3 linked regions of the Callithrix jacchus genome follow. The protein of the gene in region 2 purifies or fractionates together with the protein of the main gene of each other region. This does not show direct contact. Links are inferred from orthologs where the notes say so. Each region holds a gene or a part of one and is shown on either strand. Other genes may lie near its edges.

Region 1 (6,126 bases), on a different chromosome or scaffold from region 2:
TTTTTCTAAAAAACTAAAAAAGTTTTTCAGTGCAATAGCATGATCATGGCTCACTGCAACATCAAATTCCTGGTCTCAAGCGATCCTCCTTCCTCAGCCTCCTGGGTAGCTGGAACTACAGGTGTGTGCTATTGTACACCGCTAATTAAAAAAAAAATTTTTTTTGAGATGGAGTCTTGCTATGTTGCCTAGGCTGGTCCCAAACTCCTAGCCTCAAATGATCCTCCCACTTCAGCCTCCTGAGTAGCTGGGATTACAGGCACAAGCCACTGCACCCAGCACAGAACTGCTATGATCTGTACTAATTAGAAGACAGTATATTTATTATGCCTGTGGGTTAGGAATCTCTAATAAAATCATATGTAATAGTTTTAATATTTATGAACTTTTAAAATATTTAAATTAATATCACTAACTTACAGAAACATATAGCATCATGATTCAAGGCATTATTTAATACTGAGCTATGAATAAAGTATTTTGATGGAAAAATAATATCTCAATGCAGTCATCCCATAGAATTAACAAGGAGTTACACAATTTCCAGATGATTAGGGTACAGAAAAAGTGTCACAGAAGTTTAGGCTTTGCCTTTTACTACGGTAAATTAAGACACATGCTATTACTACCGGTTTGGATAAGAACAATTGTAAGTTACTACTTGAAGTTCAAATAATTTCCATGGCAGTGCTGTATTAGCAAAGTACTACTGAATAGTGGTCAAGGAAAATAATAATCTCGCAGTAATAATTTGAAAGTCTCTGATGGAGCCCAAGAAGCAGAAGGCATAAAAAACAGAGAGGTTACACTTAAAAAGCACTTTGTAAGTTAAATAGATCATTTTCGCACATAGTGTCTCTTTATTCCTCACAAAATCCTCCATGGTAAACATGGTTATTTATTACAATCCACATTTTACAAATGAAAAAACTAAGCCTGAAGCATTAAGAAACACAAATAGTGGCAGAACTGGAGCTTAACCACAGTCTTTTAGCTAGAGGTCCAATCGGCTTTATATTACTTTACTTTCCTTTCTATTCACAAATAAATGTGAAAGAAGAGAAATGTAAACATTTTCCTAGACAAAGCAAAATATGTCCTCATCTCTTACTTAAAAAAGAATGAAAAGGAGTAGGAGAAAGAAGGAAGAAGTGAGAGAAGGGAGAAGGGGAGAAAAGTAAAGACAGAGAAGGGGAAAGAGGGAAGAAGAGAAGAAAATAGAGAAGGGAAGAGAAAGAAGAAGTGGCTACTAAGAGACATCTCTCATTCCAAGAAACTGCCATGGGAAAGTCAATAATCTTATAAACTTCTGAACAAAACTTGAGAAGAACCCTACACAATTGTGAAGAAATCTAATGGAAGAGTTCTGAAAGTCTGCAGAATTTGTCTACCAAAACAATCCTGACAAGACAAAAACTGCATATATTAGAGGTGATGCTAGTCACCATCAGGCACCATAATGTGTCTGTCAGTTCTATTCTCTTATAGCAACCAATAACCCTGTATTGTTATAACACACAGTATTTACTATATTCATCTGCCCCATAGAAAACTGTCCTGTTCAATGAATGAACAAAAAATCAAACAGTGAGGAATTTCAAGAGAAAGCTACTATACAAAAAATATTCTTAATTTGAAATCAATATAAAAAACTTGCCCCAAATTTATGAAAATGAAAAAGCTAGGGGTTAAGATTAAAGAACATGGATTATTTTATGCATTATGTAGTATGTATTACAGTCCCTAAAAATATTAATATTGTATGAGTTATCTAACTCACTGTTGAAGTATCAATGATGCTTTTCTCTCTTCCATCAACATCATCATCTTCATCTTCATCACTGAAATCTGCAGCTGCACTTTCAAGGAATTTGAAATTATCCAGCACGGAGGCAGAATCTGTTAACTCAGATTTTCTGGTGTAAAACATGTATATCCTGCTTAGTTAATCTTTTTAACTTCAATATAAGAATTAACCCATGATATGTCGCATTAACTTCTGTTTATATGGTAACTATAAATCCCAAATCACATTATCTACATTGATTCTTATTAATTACATTCTCACAGATAAATTTAAAAAGCAATACAGGCTGTAGATACTCTTTTAAGTACTTTGTAATCCTATCTACCTACCTACCACTCTGTTGCCCAGGCTGGAGTGCAGTAGCATGATCTAATTCACTCCAACCTCTGCCTCCCAGGTTCATGCAATTCTTCAGCTTCAGCCTCCCAAGTAGCTAGGATTACAGGGGGGAGCCACCACGCTCAGCTAATTTTTCTATTTTCAACAGAGATGGGGTTCCACTATGTTGCCCAAGCTGGTCTCTAACTCCTGAGCCCAAGTGATCCACCCACCTCAGCCTCAGCCTCCCAAAGTGCTGGGATTATAGGCGTCATAAGCCACCATGCCTGGCCACTCATATTTACTTAAATTAGTGGTAATCTAATGTAAAGAACTCCCCTTCCTGATTCAGTATTATTTTGATCCTTATACCAATCTTAATGTATTTTTTTAAAAAATATGTTTATTATCTCTACCTCCATTTTTCTCTACTCTTATCCTCTCTGCAACTTTCTTTGACCTCTTACATAAGTTTCCACAACTAAGAAAATAACAAATATGTCATTTTTCTCTGATACAATCTTGTATTTCGGCTCTAGAACTAAAGTAAAAGAGAAAATGTATACATAAAGTTACTAACAGCAATACACTAGTCAAATTAACATTATTTTAAGACTTGACCCTGTTGATTAATAAACGATTAATATTTTAGAAATAATTGAATTTTCAAATATATGACTTGAATTTAGTTCCCTCAAAATAAATGTATTAAAGGTTCCAATGGCCAGAACAAAAAGATTTCTCTCCAGTTCATCAGGTAATCTTTTAGACAGAGCATTTTCTCGAAGGAAAATATATATATATATATTTTATATATATATAAAAACTACTATGGACAAAATTTTCAAAACAGATCTATCTTAAATTTCAAATCTGCTTAGAGCTTTGTGTTTGGTTATCACCCTCTCCTAACCCTTTATCCCTACTGAAATCTGACAGATTAGCAGCAATAGCCTGGTCATTCTTAAAGGACAGATCAAGGTCAAAACACACACGAGTGGTCTTCCCTGAAAGTCTTTACTGAAGGTTATTAAAGTATGCATTATAGCTCTTAAAAACATTTATACTATCAGCCAGGCATGGTGACTCATGTCTCTAACCCCAACACTTTGAGAGGCTGAGGTGGGCAGATCACGAGGTCAAGAGATCAACACCATCCTGGTCAAAATGGTGAAAACCCGTCTCTACTAAAAATAACAAAAATTAGCTGGGCATAGTAGTACATGCCTGTAGTCCCAGCTACTCAGGAGGCTGAAGCAGAAGAATCACTTGAACCCGGGAGGCAGAGGTTGCAGTGAGCCAAGATGGCATCACTGCACTCCAACCTGGAAACAAAGAAAACGTCTCAAAAAAAAAAATTATACTATCTAAGTTAACTTGATGACTTATGTTGACCCATAACATAAAAATAGATAATGTCCACACGGCCTTCGTCTATACAGAGAAATACCATGCCTTACATTTACAAATACAAGTTAATGTACTTTTTCAATGTAGCTTTAAAAGTTGGAAATGTATTCTTAATTATTAACGAATACATTTTAGAAGGCTTCACAGACCTTTGTTTATAAAAGTACCACAGTGAACCTTTACCTAATCCCATAATTTTAGTTTATATTCCAAATAACAGGAACTATCTTCTCACCAGAAAATTTATAGAGCTCAATTAAAACCATTCTTCCTTCCTAAACAAGTGTCAAAATAAAAACCATACTAAGACATTCACAGAATTTTTGACTTTTTATTCAAGTAATAATCATGGAAGTTTTTTTCCAATAAAGAAAAATCTCTTTATTGATCTGTTTATGCTTATTTTAAGTAGAATTATATATGATTGTATGATACATAATCCAAAATGGAAAACAAAATATTTCAAATAGCTAATGAATTTTTCACACTTACACTGTCACTTGTAACACATATTTTATATCAAAGGAAAGATAAATTACAGCATTATGAGATAAACAAAAGTGGCTAAAAGCAGGGTTACTTCTAAATAATTTGAGGTACTTTTGTGATTTCTGGATCACCAGTCATGAAATTTTGTTCTTACATATTGTACTGAATTTCCAAACAAAATGTTTTCTGAACTTTTATTTAGTGATTAGGACAATATACTAAAATTTGTATTAATACATAATTATGATTATGTATTTATTACATATATTATTATGTATATTTATGTATTAATACATAAATACATAAATTTGAAGCAAATATCATAATAGTATTCTTGAATTAAAATAGAATAACTCCAATCCTTATGTGTTAACTTCTAACCAAACAAAATTTTAGAATTTTTATTAAATTATAATTTAATTATTTCTATGTCACTACCTGAAAGTACAAATAATGCCCATAAAACCAAAAATATTTAATAAGAACTAATTATAGCTAAAACACTTCCCAGACAAAATACTTACCCAATCATTGCTGTCTCTTTAATTTCAGCCTCTGTGCCATTTACAACTGAGTCCTGATTTTTGTCATCTTCCCTGTCAGTGACATCACTTGAAAAGCCCAACAAAGCTCGCACTCGTTTAGATTTCACATCTAGAATAGTATCTGTATAACCCACCTCCTGTAGATACCTGTGTGAAGAGGATCCTTACAGTTCAGTCATACTGGAATCAGTATTCTATAATTTAATATATAAATAAAAGCATTTATTTAAACTCATTGCCCACATAAAACTTAACAGTACAGTACTATGCTAGTAAGACTTAATAAATAATCTTCCAGCTGCAGATGGAGCTGTCTCTTGCAGTACCAGCCTCTACAGTCACTGAGAAAAATGAGAGAACCATACAATACACCATTCATTACATTTACCATAAGAAGAAGCTGGTCTTTAATATATCTAATAGCACATTCTTTCCTTTAGGCTAGATTGGAGCTAGCTCACTCCCAGACTCTACCAAATTAGTATTTTATAATAGTTATTCCAATAGTTTTTTTTTTTTTACATTTGTCATGTATCAATTGTTTGTGATATAGACAGAATGTTCCTAGCATATATGGTCTCCTTCATTACACACAAGAAGGGAGGATTTCTTGAGTCACCTCTACAGTATAGAAGCTTCTATCCCAAGACAACTTTAAAATAAAAATAGACCGCAATTAAATTGTGGCATGTAGGGGGTGTGGACACACATGTGTGTATGTTACTGAAAGGCAGTGGCAAAGAAAAAGAGCAAAGGCTTTGTACTGAGAGCTAGGTCTAGGTCCTATTTCTGCCACTTACTTGCATAACTTTAATTCTCCTGAACCTGTTTTCTATCCCCTAAAACAGACATACCTAATATTGTACTTGGCATATAAAACGCATTCAATACATATTAACAGGAAAGTTGACCAAAAAAGGCCCAAGTGGCAGTGGCAGGACCATGAAAATGGTAAATGCCATTAGTAAACATGATAGACAAACACTAGACAAACTTATAAGCAGGCACTGAGTCTACTGGATGAAAGAAGAAAACAAAGGTTGATGAGATAAGCAGTTTAAATTAAGTTTATTGCAAGATTTGGTCTTGGTTATTACAGTTGAAAGACCTATCTCAAAAATATACGTGATCAAAGGGAGTAAGTTTATCTTATCAGATCAAGATGCTCATTTTTCAATCCTATCCGATATTTATAGAAAGGTCTCAATTAAAATTTAGATAATAAATTCCCAAATTCCCTAAATTTAAAGTTCTTCTTGAAAACTGCTTCAAAGATGTTATATTTTTCCATTTTTAACAATAATATTTGAGACATACCTCACTTTGGCAACAAAATCATATTACAAATACCTGTTTTGAAACTGCTCTTGCCATAGATAAGCTGGTTTTACTAAATAGTTACTTCCTCATTCATTGATAAAATGACACCTTTACTCTGAAGAGTTATGGGTCCTTCAAAGTTTCTGAAAACATCTCTTGTATAGCTCATTATGAAACCATTTCTTGTTTTAAAAAAAAAATTAGCATTCTAAGAACACACCTATTTTAAAAAGATGT
Region 2 (5,871 bases):
CAGCACTGCAACCTCAAACTCCTGGGCTCAAGCAACCCTCCTGCCTCAGCATCCCAACTAGGACTACAGACACTGCAAATTTCATACTAACAAGAACTATTTGGTCACATTGTAAGTTTTCTTTGGAAGTGTGTCCCTCACAGTGTCTGGCATCTAACAGATGCTCAGTTAAAATCTTCTATCTGTCCAAACCAAAACTTTAAATAGTTAATTCCTAAAACAATTTGATGACATGGTAAGATCTGACAGAGTATATGCTCTAACTAGATTAAGTGGTATAATAACAAATAATTGACCAGGTGAGATGGGTCATGCCTGTAATACCAGCACTTTGGGAGGCCAAGGAGGGCAGATCCTGAGGTCAGGAGTTTGAGACCAGCCTGGCTAACATGGTAAAACCCCATCTCTACTAAAAATACAAAAATTATCCGGGTGTGATGACGTGCGCCTGTAATCCCAGCTACTTGGGAGGTTGAGGCAGGAGAATCACTTGAAACCAGAAGGCAGACGTTACAGTTAGCCAAGATTGTGCTATTGCACTCCAGTCTGGGCAAAAGAGTGAAAATCCGTCTAAAAAAATAATAATAATAATAAATAATTACATCTACACCTAAAGTAGTAGCCTCATAGCCTGCGTGTTATTTTAGGTAATAAAGCAGAAGGGGGAAAAAGTGAAAATGGTAGAAATAAACCATATCTACCCCTCAAAGATAAGGTTTTTTGAAAGAACAAATTTCATGGCCGGGCGTGGTGACTTACACCTTTAATCCCAGTCCTTTGGGAGGCCATGGCAGATGGATCACTTGAGGTCAGGAGTTCGAGACCAGCCTGGCCACGTGGTGAAACCCAGTATCTACTAAAAATACAAAACTTAGCTGGGCATAGTGGCACATGCCTATAATCCCAGCTACTCAGGAGGCTAAGACAGGAGAATCACTTGAACCCAGGAGCCAGAGACTGCAGTGAGCCAAGATCATTCCATTGCACTCCAGCCTAGGCAACAGAGTGAGATTCCATCTCAAAAAAAAAAAAATAACATATCATCTCAAATCATGAAACAGTCACTATTGATCTATTCTTAAGTATCTCAAAATAACCTATTGTGAGAGTTTTAGTACAGCCAATGGAAAAGACTATGTATGAAATCACTGTTTGTCAAATAAGTACAAGAAAAAATCTGAGTCCCCTTTGAGTGTTTAATCAAAGAAAGTGCATTTGCAGGAGGGGGTGCGGAAAAAAAAAAAGAAACTGTATTTGCAGAGTATGTCCTGTGAGCAAACCTGTTGTCTGATTAGTTTAGACCTGTTGCCCAAGGACACAAAATGGCAAAAATGTAAAAGCTGGTTGAATTAAGGCACTACCTAGTATGAAACTGATGTTTGAATTCAACTGCTAGAAAAATGGCGTCTATGAATATTCATTTTAAAGAATTATGAGAGCCAGGTGTCATGGCACACACCTGTAATCCCAGCACTTTGGGAGGCTGAGGTGGGGGGGGGGGGGAATCAACTGAGGTCAGGAGTTCGAGACCAGCCTGGCCAACATGGTGAAACCCTGTCTCTACTAAACATACAAAATTTAGCTGTGCATGGTGGCATACGCCTGTAATCCCAGCTACTTGGGAGGCTAAGGCAGGAGAATCAGAGGTTGATTCTCCTGGAAGGCAGAGGTTGCAGTGAGCTGAGATAGTGCCACTGCATTCCAGCCTGGGTGACAATAGCAAAAAATCTGTCTCAAAAAAAAAAAAGATTGCAAGTAAAAATCTGTCAAAAAAAAAAAAAAAATATATATATGTATATCAAGTAATCTATGAAGTATTTTAGGCACCCCTAACCAGCTTGGGGGAAGGGTCTGTTCCACAGGTAAATGAGGAACTGGTGTTACACAGAAAAGTTAACATACTCTTCAGTTCTCATGCTACACACACAATATAGATATTATGGAGCACACATAACTCGGACAGTCTTTTCCTCCTTTCTTTAAAAAATAATAAAATATTTCCTTAAATCAGTAGCTGCCAAAGTTATCATTTTTTTCTCTTCCTTTTGAGGCTCAGGTTTCTTTCACTTCAAAACATATTCTTGAAGACTTAAGTTCTTCCTTTAAGAAAGATTTAATTATTTAACTCAGAAAGAAGGGGCAAAAAGTCAGGAGGTGAAACCTGAGACAGTCCTATTAGTCTTACATAACTTAAAGTTGGAACTGATTCAGTAGCTCGGCTAAAAACCTGAGGTTTAGGCACTAAGACGAGCTCTTTAGTATACTCTCCACAAACATAAATAGTTTTTAAAAATGGAAATGATCCTATCTTTTTTCTTCATTCTTAAAAGCTCATACATGTATAGTAAGTCATGATACTAACGCAAAAATGCTAAAAATGGTTACACTTAAAATGAAAAGCACTGAATTCATCCTATCACATTTAAGTAACACTATAATTGAAAGACTAGGGTGTAATTTCAGAAAATAAGTTCACTTCCTAACACTAACTTTTGCATAGCACCTCTGTAAGTATGCAATAAGTACTTAATAAGTGCTGCAGGGAACATCAAAAAGTGATTTTCAAATGCAATATATGTATGTGCAACCAACTTGTAAAAAAAACTCTCAATATATATAAAGTACAGTTCTCATGCTTAATTAAATTAGCTTTGATTATTGCAAATGATTCCTTCAAGAGCAAGTATATAGCAAACCTTTCAAAAATCTTAGGTTTACACCAGCAACTGTCCTTACTTAGAAAGGTCTTGATCTGAACTCAACTAAAGCTATGTGTTAACTACATTTCACCACAAAGACACCTGAGCACCAGGGTAATAATGGCCACGGATTCCCCGAATTGCTTTGAGAACTGCTGCTTGCTTAATAAAGAGCTGAACTGTGAATTCACCTTTCTCAACAGACTGAAAGCAAGACGCCAAGTTTCACAATCTAGTTTGGGATTTCTCTGGGAATGACTACGTTATCAAGATGCCATAGCTCTCCTGAGGCTTTTAATTACAATACCTTCTCTGTTTTCCATTCAACCACCTCAATCAAATTTCCACTAGAACCAGGCACACAAACAGTTGATTCCTGGCTTTGCGCAAAGCCTCCTGTGGATGCAAAGCCTGGGATCCTGCAAAAGTCAGGCCTTTCAGGGAGGGCAAAGGTGGGGTGGGGGAGGAGTTTGTTAAACAATGCAGTTGGACAATGTGGTGGTGACATTACCTTGCCTGTCTTGTGATCAAACCAGACGAGAGCGTGGTTCCTTGACAGCACTTTGCAATCAAAAGTGGCATTATTCTGCGCTGGTCGACAGCGGGCCACTGAACGGCCGATTTTGATGGGCTCGTCCAGGTAGACATGACGCTCCTGAAACGGGTGCGAGTTTGGGCGGCAAGTGAAGATGGCCAAGGCTGACGGCATCGAGGATAGGCTTGGGGTGTCTCTCCTACCAGGGACAAAGAGGAGTTCCTCCGGATCCGGGCTGCCCTTCACAAGCCTATACCCCTATCCCACCCAAAATTTTAAATTAAAACAAACTGCACATTGTCTATGCATAACCAGTGAACATCAACAACTCTTCACTTGGGTGGGAAGACAAGCCAGCGCAAGCCCCATCACCTCCTCCAAAACCCAGCAGTGCCCTAATCACGAAAAGTCCCCAACGGGCAGCTTTCAGTCCATCTTCCTCTCTGGGAAGAAACGGCTCAAACATCGGGCAGCTTCGGCCAAGAAAACTCCTGGAGCACAGTTTGGGGACTGGAGGTATCCAAGCAGATGAGTCACACTCCAATTCTTGTGTTTGGTTTGAGATCGCGGCCGCTTTTCCCCCTCGGTGGCGGAAACGCTGCAGCACTGCAGCATGAAGGAAGGGTCGTGGTTCGGCGCGGCCAGGAAAGTCCTTTTGGGCCGAAGGAAGGTGTGGCCGGGCACCTCCGGGCAGCCACCGCCCGTGCTCGCCCGGAGTGGAGGGCGAGAGGTGACGGAGGCGGAGGGGCTCTAAACGGCCGGCGGGACAGTCTGCATCGCCCCTGCTGCGCGGAGGCCGCCCCGGGAAGGGGGACTCGGTCCCCGGCGTGGCGAGGCGGCAGTGCCTGGGGTCCTCAGCGCGAGGCGTGGGGGCCGGCGGGGCGCGAGCAGTGGCCAAGTCGGGACTCCTGGGCACCTGGCGGGTGTCCCCGCGACCAGGGCGGGGACCCGGCTCCGCAGGCCGGTGCGGACCGAGCGAGGCGCGACACCGGGAGGTTCGGGTTCTCGGGCGGCAGGAAGTTGGTCCCCGGACGCCTGGGCTCCTGGTCGCCGCCGCTCAGCACATGGGCCGCCTCCCCTCAGGGTCGCCCCCGCGAGGGTCGCATCTCAGGGACAGCAGTCGCAGCTCCGGGCGGACGAGAAGGTGGGGGAGGGAGACTGGCCCGGAGGTTAGGGAGAGGCCTGGAGGCCCCGGGCTGGGTCCGCCGCAGCCTCCACCGATCACGGCCAATGGAGCAAGCTCAAGCTGCGCCGGACGAGGCAGGAAACTTTCCGACCTGGTGGGGAAAATATCAAAACAAACGGCCGTCAGGCGCCTCAGCCCGCCCGCCTCAGCCCTCGCCCCCTCCAGCCAGACCCCCGCCAGCTCCCACCGCTAGGCATGACCTCCGCCGACCTCTCCACAAGCGGGCTGCGAGGATTTGGAGGCAGGACGCCACGACGGGTTCTACCTCCCTAGCCGCCACCGCCGCCTCAGCTTACCTTGCCAGCGCCGGCCGCCATAGTGACTCTGACTGAAACCTACCGGGTACACCGCCACGGGAACGCGCTCCCTTCAAGGGCCCTCCTACCCCCTCTCCCGCGCCGTAGTCCAGGAATGTCACGTGAGCGACGCCACGGAAGCCGTGTTGGTCGAGGGCAGAAAAACGGGCAAGCTAATTTCTAACGCGCCTCTAGGCGCCATCTTATTTAAGGGCTGGAAGCTTCAAACCTCGGGACAACCACAACGACCATTTTCGTTAAGGGCAAGAACAATTCGCGCGCTAGAAGATTTTCGAAACAAACCGTGCCACCTTCTTATTTTATCTACTTGGAAAGGAGATGCCAACCTTTGCTAAATTTTATTCGCTTTAATCCTCGATGAAAATACTAGTGAGCAAAAAGCAGAGGCGGCCAAAGGAGATGGTCATAAGCAGCCATCTTAGCTGTGGGCAACAGAGTCGCCCGCAGCCACCTTAAGTGTGAGCAGCCAAATTCCCTCAAGTCTTAGGATGTTCGCCTAACCGAAGGACCATCCTCCCCTCTGCTAAAGTTTTCTCTGTGTTTTCTTCCCGGAAAAAAAACGCTTAGTTCCCGCATTACGCTTCGAAAGACAGCCCTTCTCACCGGACCTCGTATGTGCCCCAGGGCTCCTACGCGGATTCTTCCACAGAAGGAGCGTGCAGAGAGTTTAAAATAGTGTTGCTTCCAAAGAGAGATTGAACAATTTCCAAAACGAAGAAAGGGGGTACTGCCCCCACTTACTATCAAGATGAGGAGTCATTGGTCTAAAGAAGAAAGACTGCAAAAGCTAAATGAAAACGTCAAGAAAAGATAGGAGTCTTACTCATTTAGAGTCAAAGGTGACTTCATTCTTCAGATTCCTGCGACAACAGGCTCCACCACTGTGTGACCTTAAGCAAGTTTCTAAACTTTTTCAAGCCTCTTTTTTCTCATCGATGACATGGAGATAATAGCTAACTGACTTGTGGTGAGATTTCAAAGTGTTAATCCATGTTGTTCAATAAGGAGTAGCAATTATTCATTTCAATACTTATATATAGACAGTTTGGCCCCCTAGGTTTTTGATGGGCCCTGGGGACCCACAGGTAAACCAAACTTTAATTCCAGCCTTCTGAGAGCATAACGGTATGGTGG
Region 3 (6,226 bases), on a different chromosome or scaffold from region 2:
TGACTTTTTAAAAAGTTTAAGATTTAGCAAAGACTTGCTTTTATTAATAAAATAGATAGTATTATCGAATTTTAGAGCCAAATATCAGCAATCTCTTTTTGACAAGATCTTATGAAAGAGTAAACAGGTAAATTCATAAAGGCATACAAGGCTACAGAAATACAGGGCTATCGACCTTATTCTAGACCATACTGTGGTACAGCAAGTAACTACAGAATTTGTTTTCAAGACCAAAACCTAACACAATTTATCCCTAAAATTCAGCTTGCGTGTTTTAAAAATGATGATCTTTTTATACTTAAGTCTATAGGTTTAAAGCAAGTAAGATTCACTTTAGCACTACAAAAATTTTCAGAAAACCCCAAATATAAGTTCCTTTGAAACAAAAACTACTAAATTTTACAAAGCCACCTTGTCTAAATCAAGTGACATTAAAGGTCTAAGTCACAGGAAGACAGCATGGTTTAAAAGAAACAAACAAACAAACAAAAGCAAAGAAAAAGGAAAAAGCATGGATTTTAGAATGCGGAGACAGATCCAGAGTCTAACCGTGGTTCTAGTACCTACTTTCTGGAAACCCTAGCAATTTAAACTTTTTTGCGTTTAATAAGTAAATTTACTTATTTTCTTGATGTCTTCAGCTACGAAACAGTGTTAATATTACTACTTAGAGGAGATAAAAGTTTTGAGGACAAAATGAGATAACACTAGGAAAGAAGAGTCAATAGAAGTCTATATTTTAGTCTACAGTCTAAAGTCTGTAGTCCATGCCTATATTTTATACAATGAATATTACCTGCAAAAAAGCAGGACAGTGGTAAGTCTCTAAAATGCTGTGTTACACAGTAATTTTGCTGTAAATGAACGTGATTCCTTTATCATTTTCATTTAGAAAATTATTCCTGATTTCAGAGACCTCCAAAAATACACATTTTTCTAAAGTTTATATTAAAATTCTGTCAATGACTCCTTTGCATATAACCTAAGTTGCCTAAGTGTTACATAGCTCATTTTAAAGTTCTTATATATTTCAATCCATAAAGCCTATCTACTTTATTCATTTCTATATTTCTGTCCCCAGAAAAGTGCTGGAAGCATTGTGCATGAATATACTCCTTCATTCATTCAGCAAATATTTACTGAACCCTTACATTGTGCCAGGTACTACATATGTGTTGGGGTAAAACATGACAAATGAGAGGGCACTGCTCAGGTAGCTTATAGTTCAATGAGCACACAAATATTTGTTCAAATAAAAACAGAAATAATTAAGTTTCTATTATGATGATGCCACAAAGGTGTAGAGTATGGTGAATACACAGGGGCAACCTGTGCTGGTTTTGGGTAGGAAGGCAAGGCTCCCCTGAGGAATGATATTTAAATTGAGACATGAAAACTGACTACCAGGTGGCCACATTTAGGAAGGTAAGAGTTGAACTGTCCAAGGAGTGAGATGGAATATGTAAAGACCACCATGTCAGGAAGCAGCTTATGCAGTAAGCGAAAGGCATCATAAATGAAAAAGGCTGGAGGTAAGGATGGAGAGCTGGATAGGAGAAGAGATAAATTTTTAGTGTTAAACAGAGTAAGTGGGTAATAGTATTTGAATATTTAAGTCACATTAAGTCTTTTTCTCATGTAAATAAGGGAACTAAGTCTCTACTCCACAATATTAAAGATCTGTAGTCAGAAGATCTCAATTTTGTCTTGCTCCCACCAGTTAAGTAGTTGCATGACCTTGGGCAAGTTACTTAACCTACTTGAGCCTCTTCATTCTCTTTGTAAATATTATCTTACCTATTGTGACTACAGTGATAAATAATACACAGCACCTGTTCTTACAGACCTTACATCCTTAAAGAAAAAGACAGATGTATAATACATGGAAGACATCTTAAGTCCTATGAGAAATAATGTCCCGAAGCTGATATAAGGCTTCTGCAAAGCCCAAAATGAGAAGAAATGCAGACACTGGTGAGCTGCAAACTACGCTTAGAATACATGTGTATATATAACTCTGTGAACTCTTTAACTATCCAACCAAGGTGCAGAGATCTAAAGTGACCATGATACTCCAGCATGTGACTGACTGAAAGATGATAAATACAATACAAACATTAATCCACCAGCCCAGGAGAAGAAATGCCGAAACTATAACTGGCCTCAGAGATAAAGAGAAATTAGTGTTAGAACTGAAACAAGAAAACGAAATCTAAAATACACTGAACAAATGCATTATATTAACTTATTTCCAAATTTTCCTCACAGTTCAAAAGCTCTTTCCATAATGACATAGCTACATGCCAAAGGTTAGAACTCATTTTATACCTCCTTCAACAAAAGGCAAATACCTACACTGTCATCTAGAAAATACATTAATATTCTTGCTTTACCATCAATGATACATGTTCAGTTTATGGTCTACTTACACTACCGCAGCCTTCTTAATCCAGCAAGATTAAGGATTATTAATCCTTCTTAATAAAGAAGTCAATTATCTTCACACAATGTTTCATTTGTTTAACTGATTCTTTCTTGTCTGTGTACTATTATTACTCATGGCACATTATTCCTGATTTTACTTCATTCTATAGCACCATAATTTTTCTATTTTAAAATCGCATTAATTTCCAGACCATCTTAATTTCAATCATCCAGGAACATATCTCTGTTCCGAAAAAATATTTTTGCATTAAAAAGTGAAGCACATTGTTGATACTAAAATAATTGCAGAGTACATTCAAAATTCAGCATAGTCGAATGATCAACTTGTCTATAAAACAGTAACCTATGACTTACTACATGCTAAGAATAAGCCATGATTTTCTACATGCTAACCTTTATGGATCTAAAGTTAAAACAAAGAAATTCTACCATCAATGAATTCTATTACAATTCCCTTAAAAACTTACCCAGTAATAACAGTCATGAGATATAACTGGTCATAACAATTATAGCGGATAAGACTGGCACAGGGCACTACTTTCTCCAAGATATAAAATATAAGCGTACTTTTAAAAATTCTTTAATGTAAAACAAGAATGACTTAAAAGTCACAGATGATGCTAAGAAAAAAATATGCAAGAGTCTGATTTTATTATTTGCAGACACACACATACACAAAGAGCCTAGAGTCAAGAAAATGGGGGAAAAGTAAAATCTCAAACGATAGGATCTTACCTCTAAGAAATGCAAAATACCTTCTTTTCTAGTAATAAGCACATTAAACTCTCCTAAGGCTACATTATTTGGAAAAGGTGTGAAGTCTTGTGAAAGAATTCCAATCCCACTATTATCAGTTTTACAAAATGAGAGTAAAAAGAGTCCTAAGGTAGAAAAAGAATATTCTATTAAGGAAGGGATACATTGTTTAACTGTTGTTCACCCATCCCTTTACCTACCCTTAAAAATGAACTGTGAGAATAGAATATATTTTAATACACCCCCAATAAAAGGGGGAAAATCTGTAAAAGTTGAAATTGACCCTTTTTATTTTTTCCAAAAGGTTCTTTCCTTTATTGAGGAATTTCACTTCAGTTCAAGAAACAACTTTTCATCTCACAATGGCTTCTTAGATGTACTATATGAAATACATTTACTTTGCAACTTCCTCCACCCTTTTCAAAAAACACAACCAACATCCCCAATCTTTCTCTGTCGGGCAGCAGCTCTGGTTTAGAAGCTGGACTCGAACCAGACTAGATTGAGAAAGTCTGTCCCTCCGTGTGTGACCTTGGGCACGTCATATAATCCCTCGGTTTCCTCATCAGCATCCCAACATGAAAGCGCTCTGAAAGCAGTAAAAGAGTAAACATACCTTAGGTATGACACCTAAGAGGGTCAAGCCTTTCTGTTTAAGGCAAAATTACCTCCTTAGAGGAGCCACATCATTAAACTGGAACTGAATCCGTAGACCACAACATTTGTCTCTTCCTTCTTCCAGTGCTCCTCTTCCCTCAAAGGGCATAACCCTAGTCACCCCAAGAGCAGACTCCCAAGCACCCTTTCCTTCCTCCTCCCTTTCTCTTACAAAGCAAGGGGAAAACAACAGCCTCACCTCTCCGTCCGAAGCCACACCTTTAAAGAACCCCACCCCAGGCACATCCGCCCTCTCCCTGCTCCTGGGGCACCAGGGGCCAACCTCGCCTTTCCCCTCCCGCCCCCACCCAAAGGAGACTTCCTGGAGGCGTTCGGGCCCAAGCCCGCAGGCGGCATTTACAAACCGGCTTTACGCCACTCGCGTAGGGTAACCTCGCTTACGCCCGTAGGGCCCCGCTCCCAGCCCCGTCCGCTCCGCCTGCCAGAACCAAGCCCGAGTGCCTCAGCTATGGCCCCTACGTGACCCTAGACCTCTTCTGCTCAGTGGAGAGCTACGGGGACTGGGACAGAACAGCTACATCTTACCAGCAACTGAGGCACTGACTTCACTTCCCACCTTTGCAGCCCTCTTCAACTCCCGGATCAATTCACTCCGGCGACGCCGGAAGGACCCGAGAGGAACCAGGCGTTGTCCGGAATCCTGCCCAGTCGGAGTCGCGCAGAGGCCTATGGGGACTCGTAGTCCTGCTTGCCGGTGTTGTCCGTAATTCCTGCACTCGGAAGACTACACTTACCGGCAGGCCGTGCGGGGGAGCCTGAGGTGATGGGTGGGGACACTCCTAGCCAATAGCAGGATAGTTCCCTTCCTTTGCGGGAGGAGGTGAGAAGAAAAGAGATGGTGCACGGATAGGAGAGGAAGGGCGGGGCAAACCCTCACCTGCGCCAATCAGGGTGCGGGGTCGGGCCGGCAGGCGCCTCACCCATTGAGGGGGCGGGCTGACCGAACCGAGGAAGGAAGTGGGTGAGGGGCCCGTGGTGGGGAACGTGGGGCTATCGGGCTGAGTATGCCTTGCGGGTAGAGAGGAAGCCTCCGGGAAATCTCCCGGGTGAAGGAAGGGCTTGGTGTAGGGACTTGCACTGGACGGAGGGGCAGCTTCCCCAAGAGCAGCTAAGCCCCACGCACGCCGGGGAACCTGACCCACGGGTCGGGGAGGGATCGGCTGAGCCGGGGCTCCCGGCAGAGACGCCTGGGTGGGGCCAGAGGCAGCTCCAGGTGTGAGGCCACAGAGGAGGGGAGAGGGACCCCCCCCAGGGGAGAGGAAGTAGCAGAGCAGCTGCAGAAGTGCGGGGAGCGGGAAGGTACCAAGGCAGCTGCTTTCCGCTGCCTCTGGCCCGGGCAGCTGCAGAAACAGCAGGGGGAGGAGCAACAGCTGCCAAATTCGCCAACTGGAGGACAGGGAGGCGGAGCTTGGGTCCCCGTAGAAGCCGGAGGCGCAGTCTGGGCTGTAGTTTCCCGGGAGAGACGAAAGCAGGAACGAGCGCGGAGCGGAGCGCAGCCCTCCCGGCACCAGCTCCAGAATCCTGACAGGGGTTGCAGGTGTGTGGGAGGTAAGCGCGGGGCGGGGGGGGGTCCTTCTTCGGGGCGTCTGCACTGCCCTGGAGGAAATGTTTTCCAATGGGAATTACAAGACACAGCTATAAGAGTCCGCCTTGGGTTAGGAAACCGGTGCAAACCCTCTCGGGTGAAAGATTTACATTTTTGGACTTTAAGAGCAAAAAAGCAAAAGGAAGCTTGATTCTGGGCATAAAGGGCGTGGTTAGTGTTTTTGGTTTGAGTCGCACCAGTACAACTGTTCTGGGAGATCTCAAGATTGAGAAAAACCCTGCTAATAGAGGATGAGGTGGATGTTATCTGGTGGATGTTATAGGTGCGTAGCCTCTAAAAAGGAAAAATTGTGCTATTGATATAGAATGACTTCCGAACTATTTCACTAGGAAAAGAACTTTGCGTTCTTCTTCAGTGTCTACCCTTTACATTGGTTTATCAGATTGTCCTGCTACCGACCTGTTATCCAGAGTAGTTATTTTGCAGGTTCCTAGAATTGCAAGAGATCCGTTTTAAAGAAGCAAATGCAGGCAGGAATAGTCAGGATAGGATGGGCTCTGACTTAATCTATCAAAAGTGTAACTTTTGCCAGCAATAATGTAAAAATGAATTTTAATGAATGGATAGTTAGCTTTCTTTCCAGTGGCTCTGTAATATTGGAACAAAGACCTGGATTCAGCGTACAATGGGAACATATGGTGTACTTCACTGCTGCTCCTTATTCTCTCATTTGTGTCTGATAATATGTGTACATTTGAAAAACAAGAGTGCATAGAAAGCTGTATGGGAATCTTTTCTCTG

Evidence for each region.
Region 1: the proteins of SLMAP (region 2) and STRN purify together in Homo sapiens (affinity purification with mass spectrometry; 5 studies listed by BioGRID and IntAct, with this or other methods). This does not show direct contact. The link is inferred for Callithrix jacchus from reciprocal best matches to the Homo sapiens genes SLMAP and STRN.
Region 3: the proteins of SLMAP (region 2) and PDCD10 purify together in Homo sapiens (affinity purification with mass spectrometry; 3 studies listed by BioGRID and IntAct, counting the BioPlex papers as one, with this or other methods). This does not show direct contact. The link is inferred for Callithrix jacchus from reciprocal best matches to the Homo sapiens genes SLMAP and PDCD10.

The regions. Positions count from the first base shown.
Region 1 is NC_133515.1:78,086,463-78,092,588, reverse strand, and holds part of STRN (striatin), read right to left. Parts: intron 4,717-6,126; coding exon 4,549-4,716; intron 1,917-4,548; coding exon 1,781-1,916; intron 1-1,780. UniProt on the Homo sapiens protein: Calmodulin-binding scaffolding protein which is the center of the striatin-interacting phosphatase and kinase (STRIPAK) complexes.
Region 2 is NC_133516.1:39,559,324-39,565,194, reverse strand, and holds the start of SLMAP (sarcolemmal membrane-associated protein), read right to left. Parts: upstream 3,763-5,871; 5' UTR 3,409-3,762; coding exon 3,211-3,408; intron 1-3,210. Other genes in the region: uncharacterized protein LOC144579547, read left to right, coding at 3,763-4,752. UniProt on the Homo sapiens protein: Associates with the striatin-interacting phosphatase and kinase (STRIPAK) core complex, forming the extended (SIKE1:SLMAP)STRIPAK complex.
Region 3 is NC_133518.1:19,310,366-19,316,591, reverse strand, and holds the start of PDCD10 (programmed cell death protein 10), read right to left. Parts: upstream 4,493-6,226; 5' UTR 4,405-4,492; intron 4,233-4,404; exon of another isoform or gene 4,058-4,232; intron 1-4,057. UniProt on the Homo sapiens protein: Promotes cell proliferation. Modulates apoptotic pathways. Increases mitogen-activated protein kinase activity and STK26 activity. Important for cell migration, and for normal structure and assembly of the Golgi complex.